Drosophila melanogaster: one gene and its partner. The protein of the gene in region 1 interacts with the protein of each later gene in a biochemical or structural test. Each region holds a gene or a part of one and is shown in the gene's direction. Other genes may lie near its edges.

Region 1 (4,672 bases):
TATGCCGGCTGTAATTCAACACGAAACCCTTCACCTGCTGGGCCTTTTCCACGAGCAGAGTCGTCCCGATCGCGATGAGTACGTGCAAATCGACTACGACAATATCCCGAGGAAATACTGGTCGCAGTTCATGGCCATGGATCAGACAACCACCTTCAATGTTCCATACGATTACGAGAGCGTTATGCACTATTCGAAGAACGCCTTCGCCAAGGATCCCTCAAAGCCAACAATTCGTGCCCTAATCGGTGGTAAGGCTGTGGAGAGGGAAATGGGTCAGGTGCGAGGACCTTCCGAAGGGGATTGGACCAAAATTCGTTTGATGTACAAGTGCTAGAGTGGAGGAAGAATTCTGCGAGGACTAGGATTGGTTAATAAATATGTTGCGTTCTAAAGTGGATGTGTTTAAATGGAATGGTTTAATATGCAAACTTTCAGACCGATTGCATGGTTTTTCAATCTTTTATGGCTTTTCATTTAAGTCTATCACTAAGTCATTTAAGCCCCACCCACCCGAAAAGTGCTACCCGTTTAATGCTACCCAATCATTCAGTGTCCGTTAACTGGAAAAACGTTTTTCCAGCCTCTTGAAAATGGGTAGCCCCGCTCGAACATAAAGGAAATCCAAATCCAAGCCCAAGGCGAATGCATTTGATTTCACAGAAGTGCAAGTGTAAGTGTCAGTTAACTTTGAAGCAGACTAAGGAGCAGTTGGGGAAGAAAGCGGGGCTTCTCAATGCTGAATGGGGTCTGCCGTGGATTGGGCATGAGTCCAAACGACTGGGCAGCAAACAATCCGAATCCCTGGCACTTAATGTGCACTAAGTGCTTAAGAAGGCCGAGTGTCTGGAGCTGCCTATTAGAAGTCTCTCACTCCCCTGGCCAGTAACCACCCACTTTGGATCAGGATACCATTTCATGGATAGCAATTGCGGAATTTAAATAACCTTTTTAAATCCCTGACAGCTTTGCAAAAATCGAATTGTACGAGTTAAAGAATCAACCAAGCAAGAAGAAATTTTCATCTGCTTAAATTTAAAGAATATATCTTTGCTATAAAGAATCCAATTATTTTGACATGAATTATCTTATATGCCCAGATAGAAATAATATTTACTGAAATGTGACGAATATTATTTAATAGCTTTGACCTTTAAAGAAAACTGTCAGAAAACAAACCAATAAAAGCTAATAAATGTGCCGCATGGTAGTAAGAGAGTATTCCTGTATCTCCACTAATAATTTAGCAACAACATACAACGAATGTGTAAATGTTTGCTTAAAGGAGAATATAAATAACAAACAAAAGAATAAACGCTGTAGTTTACCCTTTTGAGTGGTACAAAATAGCACTATTGGCAAGTGTTGAGTTCTGCAAAGCGGGGCAAAGAGTTGTGGCTTCGTAAGGATGCCAACAGATGGCCATTAAATGCTTGCCTTAAGAGAGCCGGATATCAAAGAGACTCCACATGTTTCGGGAAGTTCGAAAGTGCCATCGGTGAGAGTGAAGACCGACTGGAAGTGAGCTGGCAGGATGAATACATTTTGGCCCACTGTTCTAGGCGGAAAAGCTCGCTCTCTCGCCGAAAAAGGGGAAGAGGAAAATGGGAGCTTTGGCTGGTCGCCTGGCTTTTCAAGCCGACGCCGTTCGTGTGGCTTTCAGTGTATTCAGTGCAGTCGTATCGTTCGGTTCGTTCTCACGGTGAAAAGCGGTGGAAGGTCCTGTTCGGAGGACAACCTCAATACGCCACTCACACACGCACAAGTGGGCTTACTCACACGGACACGGGTGCGCTAGTCGAAAGTAAAAGTTGTCCAGTGTGCCATAAAGGTAAATAATAAATGAGCCAATGTGAAATATACGCACGCAATGTGAAAGCAACGAAATATATGAAGAAATCTACGGAAAAATGAAAATCTAGACCTGCGTGCCAGTGTGCAAAATCAAGTATGCAACACTTAAGTGAAACGAATATCCCAAAATAAAGTGTGCAAGAGTGCCAGCGATCCTTGAATATTCGAGTACCAAACTAAAATACTAAGCCAGACTAAAACTAAAAACCGAACCTGCCCCAACTGATCCTTCACCTCAATTCTTACCTATCAAGGCCACACGGCGGCTGTGGCATATTAACGTTGCACTCGTTGCACGTTGCACATACAGCCAACTCACACAAAAAATGTTATTCATCTTCGCGTGCTGTTTTGTTTTTTAAGACCGCCAAGGTCGTCCAGGAATACGTATATCTCTTAACGCGGTCCGAGAATTTTAGAAATAATTATAAGAAATACTTTGGGGTTTCCTTTTAAAATTTCTCGGAAAATGTTGCGATTTTCCCTCGTCTGAACTTTTGCTTTTTAACTTTTTTCTTTCGCCTTCCCTTTGGGGCTCATAAATTAGGGTCGCATTCCGCTTAACCGGGAATATTTGCATAAAATGGGAAAAAGGGCGAGAAATGGTTTAAATACGGGAATCACACGGCTGAGATATTCAACACATGAAAAAAAGGGGGCATATAAAATGAGTTCACAGGCCTTGATGGGTTGAGATAAAGCAAACATTAAAGTCCCTTTATTTAGATGATAAAAAATTGAAAAACAAAAGTGAAAATTAGCACTGCGAAAATTCCAAGGTTCATAAAGATTCGGTACCGAAACTTTTGAGTTTTATCAAAAACCCAAACATCGAAAAATTTGCAACAAAACAGGATCAAAGGACAACAGCAGCGCAGCAAAGGTGAGCCCTTTTAATTTTATTGAGCCAATTATCCAATAATTTCATTAACTAGTTAACACCAATAATCATGTATTTCCTTACAAAAAAAAAAAAAAAACAAAAACACATATCAACCAATGTGTCATTGTTTGAGTTTGGGTGGTGCGTTGGTTTTCCCAGTGGCGGAAAAGCCAAGCCAACGGGTGGTACGGTTACATTTTTATTTATTGTGATATTTTTTTTCGCTGTTTCTCTTTGCTGTGGTTAGAAGTTGTTCAGGAAAAAATGTTGCCGGTGGGAGGAGCTTGGATTGTTAGCTCAATTTAATTATGAAAATGCCAAGAATTTCTCTGGGCACACACGTGCCTAAACATACAGGTGGGTGGTATTCCAATCAACTTATTTTATTAAATGTTGTGGGGGAAGGACACCAAATTTATGCTCCTAAAAGCTTATATTAAGACTCACTGATGGAAAGGTGTTATAAATAATAATGACTATTTTTAATTAATATACAAACGGAATATTATAAGTGTTATAAGTATTTGAGAGCTACTTGTTGGTTAATTAAAATTTTATCAGGCAACTGAACATAAACCTGATTCAGTTACTACGAACTGAAATTTTGTTCTTCGGAAACATACTAATAAGCCTATTTAAACTCTTTTAAGTTCTTGAAATTAATTAGCTAATGATCCATTATTTATAATGAAACATTATTGCTAAGAACCATAAATTCGCGATGGGTAAGGCTTACATTTAAATAGGTCACGTGAAATGCCTTCGTTTTCAGTTTTACTAAGAGTCGTAGCTTTCCACTCATGTGGCACATATTTCTGTGGCATCCACCACAAATTTCCATTACTGAGATTGCCTTAGAAAATATGCTTAGATGCTACACCTTTGACCACTTTCCCAACACCATTACCTGTGAGCTCAGGGAAAAGGTAACTAAGACTTTCCGCCCGACAAGATTGCCATTTTATGCTAGACATTTTCTAAGAAAATAAAACAACATTTTATTTACACGCTGCTTCAGCAAGGTCACTTATTATGGAACTTTGCGCGTCAGAAAGTTGCCCAAATACATAAATTATTTTTATTGTACTTAACCTTTTTTTTTTTTGCCTTGACTTTCCCTATTCATTGTCTGGCCCAAATCAGCTTAAGTCACACAGAAAAGAAATTCATAAGCTTGCTTTAAGATGCGAGTAACCGAAAGATACAAATAAGTGAAGTAGGCCGAACAGAAAATAGGCTTTAAAAGCTGTTTGGTTACTCTATAAAATATTTCGGTTGAGCTTATAGAATTTCAGAACGACATTAATAACCCTTCTTTCGTTAGAAAAAAAAGGGTTATAATATTGAGCCAAATTATAAGCAAAAAATTGTATTTTATGTGCATGGTTTCCTACAATTCATCGAATTGGATTGATACAAAAAGTAACTGTAGCTGATTAAACTTGCTTATGACTCTATGACCTGAATATATTTTCCCATTTAATCAGCTTACAATTGTTGCAATATTTTTTTAAATGGCACAATAAAGTTGAAAATGCAATGGAAGTGCAACACAAAACGCGTCCATTATATTTGTTTTGGCATTGACATATTTACTTGATTTAAATTTTTATGAATACCCTTTTGTTTACTTGTGAAACTCTTTGAGCGTACAATTTTGAATGAATGAAATATTATGCAAATGTTTGATAAATAGCAGGAAATCAAAAGCAAACAAAAGGAGAAAATTGTTAAGCAAAAATATAATTGATGGCAATCGCACACAATTGCAGCCGAGCGAAGACATAATTAAAAGAAATATATATGTATATGTATATATGCGTACGTATGGGTGTATTAATCAAACATAATTACTCTGGTCATGCATATTTGATTAATCGGTTAAAAGGAAGGTCCTGTGGTCGTGTTCCACTTTTGTTTGACCTGACAGCTGTC
Region 2 (5,031 bases), on another chromosome or scaffold:
CAATGCTGCCAAAAAGGATACAGGTCGCCTAGAATACCAAAAACGTTTTATGAGCGCACAAGAAGATCTTGGTGTGAAAAACTGGATCTACACCGATGGTTCTAAAGTCACCGGCGCAACTACTTTTGCGGTCGTTGACTCTAACCGTAAAATAATTGCAGGAGGTAGGCTTCCGTCCTACAACTCCATATTTACAGCCGAAGCTTTCGCCATTCTCAAAGCATGCCAATTCGCTTCCAAAAACGCTGGAAAATCTGTTATCTGCACAGACAGCCTCTCCTCTCTTTCCGCTATACGCAACTGGAACCATAATGACCCCACAACACAAGAAGTTAGGCACATTCTAAGTTCTCACCCAAAAAAAATCACCTTACTCTGGGTTCCCAGTCATCAAGGTATTCATGGGAATGAACTTGCTGACAAAGCCGCCCAAGAGATGAGGCTTACACCATCAATCCTGTTCACTCCGTTTAACTCCAAGGACCTAAAAAGTCGAATCAAGTTATACCTCAAAGAAAGGAAACTCTCCGAATGGGCACTCTTCATGCACAGGTACCAGTCTATCAATCCGAATTGCATCATGTTCAAGCCACCAACGAACGTACATAAACGGGAATGCGCGACCTTTATCCGTCTACGCATCGGGCACACCCAATCCACACATCAACACTTACTGACGAGATCGGCGCGACCAACATGCCAACTATGCGGGGACGAGCTCACCGTTGACCATATTCTCAACGCCTGCAGTCAATTGCACTCAATTAGATCTCACTTATTTGGTACACATAGTCTCTCGAATTGTTTAAGTATCCCATCCTGTGAAAATATCTCAAAAATTTACAAATTTGTCCAAAAAGCTAAGTTTATTATATAAAGCAATTAACCCATAAGTCTCGAGTCGAAGGCCCCCGTAGCTAGTACTCATTAAATTTAATTAGGTTTAGTATTGTATACTATATTTAATTTTGTTAAATAAATAAATAAAATAAGATGATGTGCTCAAAACAAGTTTTGTTACCTAACCTAGCTAAGAAACAATGCAATCTGGAGTCGTTGACAAGTATGTATGTAACAGAAGCAGAAGGAAGTGTATAAAAACTAGTGACTAGTCTTACAAGTTATCTTCAAACGTTATAGTTACAGTTGTCGTTAATGTCTAGCTAAAATGTTCCTATTTTTTCAACAACAAAAACTGCCTTAATCGAACTATTGCAACCTATGTAAAGTAAATTAAGTAAAAGTTAAGTCTATTGAGACTTCTGCTTGCTTCCACCTTTCCATCTCCCTTGCACAGTCCTTAGGTGATTAATAAATATCCGATAGTCGCATTCATTAAAATCTTTTTTTGGAAATTTAATTAATATGTTTTAAAAAGTGATCAAGCAAAATAAAGATATATTTTCTAACGTTCGATTTATTTTCAATATGCTTTCGTCTTTCTTTGACTTTTCCTAATTTTTTGCACAAGGTAAGGCTTAAAATATCGTCAAAAGTCGGCTGATATAAATTCTATATGTATTCCAAAACAGCTAACAATGTTATATCCCATTTGAAAAATGATGAAAGCGAACAACCGAAAAACTAGCTCTTGGTAAAACATACAGCCTTTTATATTTCAGCAATTGGTTTCTGTATAACTTTAACTCGTTTTTCTTTTCTTTTAGAATGTTTTTCAACCAATAATAATCAACTGGGCAAAACTAACCACTTATGCAGATCTCTGCGTTTTAAGTTAAGGCAATTGCTCTAGTAAATTTACCAGCTTCTAAATGTTGCTGGCAACATGTTGCCAGAGGACAAGCACTGACGCCTTCGTCCGCCACACGAGCTCGTCCTTCGGAAGCATTTCGGCTGGCCTCGGGATGGCAGGCACGGGACACGGGACTCCACAGTGCCAGGACATCGGAAGTCGGGAAATTGGGAAATCGGGATGGCCGTGCTGCCGAAGGACGAGCACATTGCGCTGGGTCGGCCCAATGCGAAACGCGCTTGGTGCGACAGGTTCAGTGCTCGGGCAACTTCCTAGCGCGTCGGTTCAGTTCAGTCCAGTGGATTCGAGACACGAAAGGACTCAGTTTCAAACTAAAAATTCCAAAGTTTCGAAAACGGGTTTCGAGTGGCGCGAAACAACAACGATACAATGATACAATTACTCTAGCTGAAAGTCGAGAGAAGAGTTTTTGACAAGTGTTAGTTGATTATTTTCAAGTTTTTTTTTAGTGTTGGCCAGTGCTTTGGACTAGTTTCGAAGCTTTGCTTGTTTTTTCGAACAAGGTAATTCTAAGACCCAAAAATTCAAAAGTTTTTCGCGAAGCATACGATGTGAGCTGTGACTGCGTATTTAGAAATTACTACACTAGTGAGGTGAAGCCAATCCCTCGTTTAGTCCTTTACTCCATTGCCCGTCGATCGCTGCCTAAATCATTTCACATACGCTTGTTCACTCATTTGTCAATTGCATTATCGGTGGTATGTTAGCATTCCCTTTCTTTTCTCAGCCTTTCAACCAATTGTTACACCAATCGAGTTGTTTTCTTGCGAATTCTCTCGACTGTTCATGAGTGAATTCCTTTTCAGTTCATTGAATTTCTATGTCCTTTCCGTTTTCTAACATTAACTTTCTTTGTTTGCATTTATGTGAGTCACTCGTCACTCGTTGGAATCCTTTATTCTCGTTTCTTGTTTTCAGTAAATAAAACAGTTGATTTGCCAAGTTGCAAATTAACTTTTGCCAGTTTTTTTTCCCAAAAACAACTATCTTTATACCTTCGTGTGGGGAAAATGTAGTCACCTTTTATGGTCAAAATCATATCGTACATTTTGTCGCATACTAACGATTTGATAAATTGTTTAACATAATTATAAAACTGTCAGCTTGTGTTCTTTTCGTTTTTAATTGTTTGTAATTATATATTTTATATAATATGATAGCATACATTACACATTGCAAAAATTAAGTAAGGTTTTCAATATCTTTTTTAGTGGTTTGTAAGACGATCCGAATTCAATTTTATTTTAAATCCGGTATCCATGTATTGCTTTGAACCCTTTTTGTGTTTCTGATTTCCTTCAAGAACTTTCACCCACCTGAACTTTAAAACCCCATTCAATCTCTCGCTCATCCCTCGCCATCCGCCACCAGTTTGGCACATTCTTGAGGTACCTTTTCTGGAAGACTCCTCCGAAACTTTTTGCCATCGAACAAAAGGCGCCAAAATGAGACTGCAGCATCCAACTAGCAGGCCAAGTTTTTAGTTGGCAATGATTTATGTTTTATTAATATTAAAAGTGATTTATTAGCCATGAAATTTGTGAGCCAACTTGGTCGTTGGCCCTTATTCGACCAGGTGAAGGGAGTGCTGGCTGCATGCGCGATTTTTTAATTACAGATGGAGTGGGACAGGGAGTACTGTCCAGCTGCAGGCTCCATTATCCTTAAGCGCGGACCTGGCCGCTCATTATCCCGACGTCCGAACTTAAGCTAAACTGCTGCACAGCGAGATTAAAATTGTAAATGACAGCCAGCGTGACAGGACAAGGAAGGAGCAGGCATCTGCTCGTCCTTTAATGTCCTGCGCCGTCCAGCCACGCCCCTCTGCGCCCCTCTGCGACCCTGTTCGCAACCATCCGCTCCCCACCCACCAGCCGTCGCATTTTGTCGTGTTTTTAATGAAAATTAATTAATTAAATAACGTTTTTACTCATTCGCATCGCCTTGCCCAGCAATTGTCTTCCCTTGTGCGCAGGTGTGCGTGTGAGGATGCATTTTATATTAAATAATGAAGTGTGTAAAATGTATGCAGTGGCACACAAAAAGAGCAAAGAGGCAAATGAAAGGGCTTTATGCGGCAAATGTAAATTTGGACCTTTTTGGGCACAGGAAATCTCAAGCTTCAAAGTGCACAGAGAAAATTGTAAACGCAATTTTCCAAAATCTTTATTAATGGTTTTTTTTTGGGAAACTTTACTTTGGGAACGTAATTAATTTTATTATTGGTCTCGAATAATCAAAATTTATGTGCAACATTTTGTCATTATATTTGGGAACCCTTTTTGCAAAATGTATACAATGCATACTTCCGAAATACCTAATTTTTTTTGTTTGCCTGTCGAGAAATTCCCCGAAACTTCCCAAAGCCATTGCCAAATTTTGGCATCTCGGTCAACACAAAAAAAGTCATGCACTTCAGTTAGCATTAATTTGAAATTTGACTGAGACTCATCTCGATTCCATCTGGTTAACCGGAACCAAGGCAAGAAGCTTCGCGACTCCTTGTCCGCCGTGTCTAGTGGTTAATCAACTAATATCTTATAAAATCCGAATGGAATCCATCCGAATTCATAATAGAAAAGGGATCTTTGGTTTTGTGCTGCGTCTGGGAGATTGGAAATATTTCTCGATCTTTGTACTGAGCACAGAGGAATTGTGTGCGAGTTCTGCGCCTATGGAACTATTTGTATTGGTCTGAACTGACCCTGAACTGGCTCACATTGGAACCGAAATATATGATGATCTCCAAATTTAATTATCAGAAATGAATTTGAAACACTTCCACATATAAACTCAGTTACTTAGAGTAAACGTAGTCACTTAAAAGAACCTGAGTACTTAATTATAAATTTAAAAAAGGTTTTAAAATATTATTTTTCTAATTATCTTGCAAGCCCCTACAGAACGCCAAAGACATTTTTGCTTGGCGCCCATAAGCCTAGAACCTGTCTGCTTTTCAGATTCAGGCTTTAAATCTTGTTGAAGGTGGAGGGGAATATTTCATTATCACTATCCATTCACATGCCAAAAATTGTTTGCATCCACTCATTACAATGTTACCGTCAAAATAATGTATGCCACATCCTCCATTTACCTAGCCCTTAGGGGTATAATTAAAAATGAGTTCTAATTGAAACTGTAGTTTGCCCTCATAATACATTTACTTTTCAAGCTACTTTGTCTCCGATTCTGACGAACCTTTTGAGACTTTAAAAGGATATTTAAATGTCGGCTTATTGGGTCTAAGCGAAACAAGT

What was found. The genes of interacting proteins can lie anywhere in the genome.
Region 2: the proteins of dpr9 (region 1) and DIP-beta form a complex in vitro, tested with the Drosophila melanogaster proteins (one study listed by BioGRID).

What each region holds. Positions count from the first base shown.
Region 1 is NT_033777.3:15,074,195-15,078,866, reverse strand, and holds the start of dpr9 (defective proboscis extension response 9), read left to right. Parts: upstream 1-1,660; 5' UTR 1,661-1,831; intron 1,832-2,580; 5' UTR 2,581-2,737; intron 2,738-4,672. Other genes in the region: CG6974 (uncharacterized protein), read left to right, coding at 1-337.
Region 2 is NC_004354.4:21,454,712-21,459,742, reverse strand, and holds the start of DIP-beta (Dpr-interacting protein beta), read left to right. Parts: upstream 1-2,004; 5' UTR 2,005-2,192; exon of another isoform or gene 2,193-2,277; intron 2,278-5,031.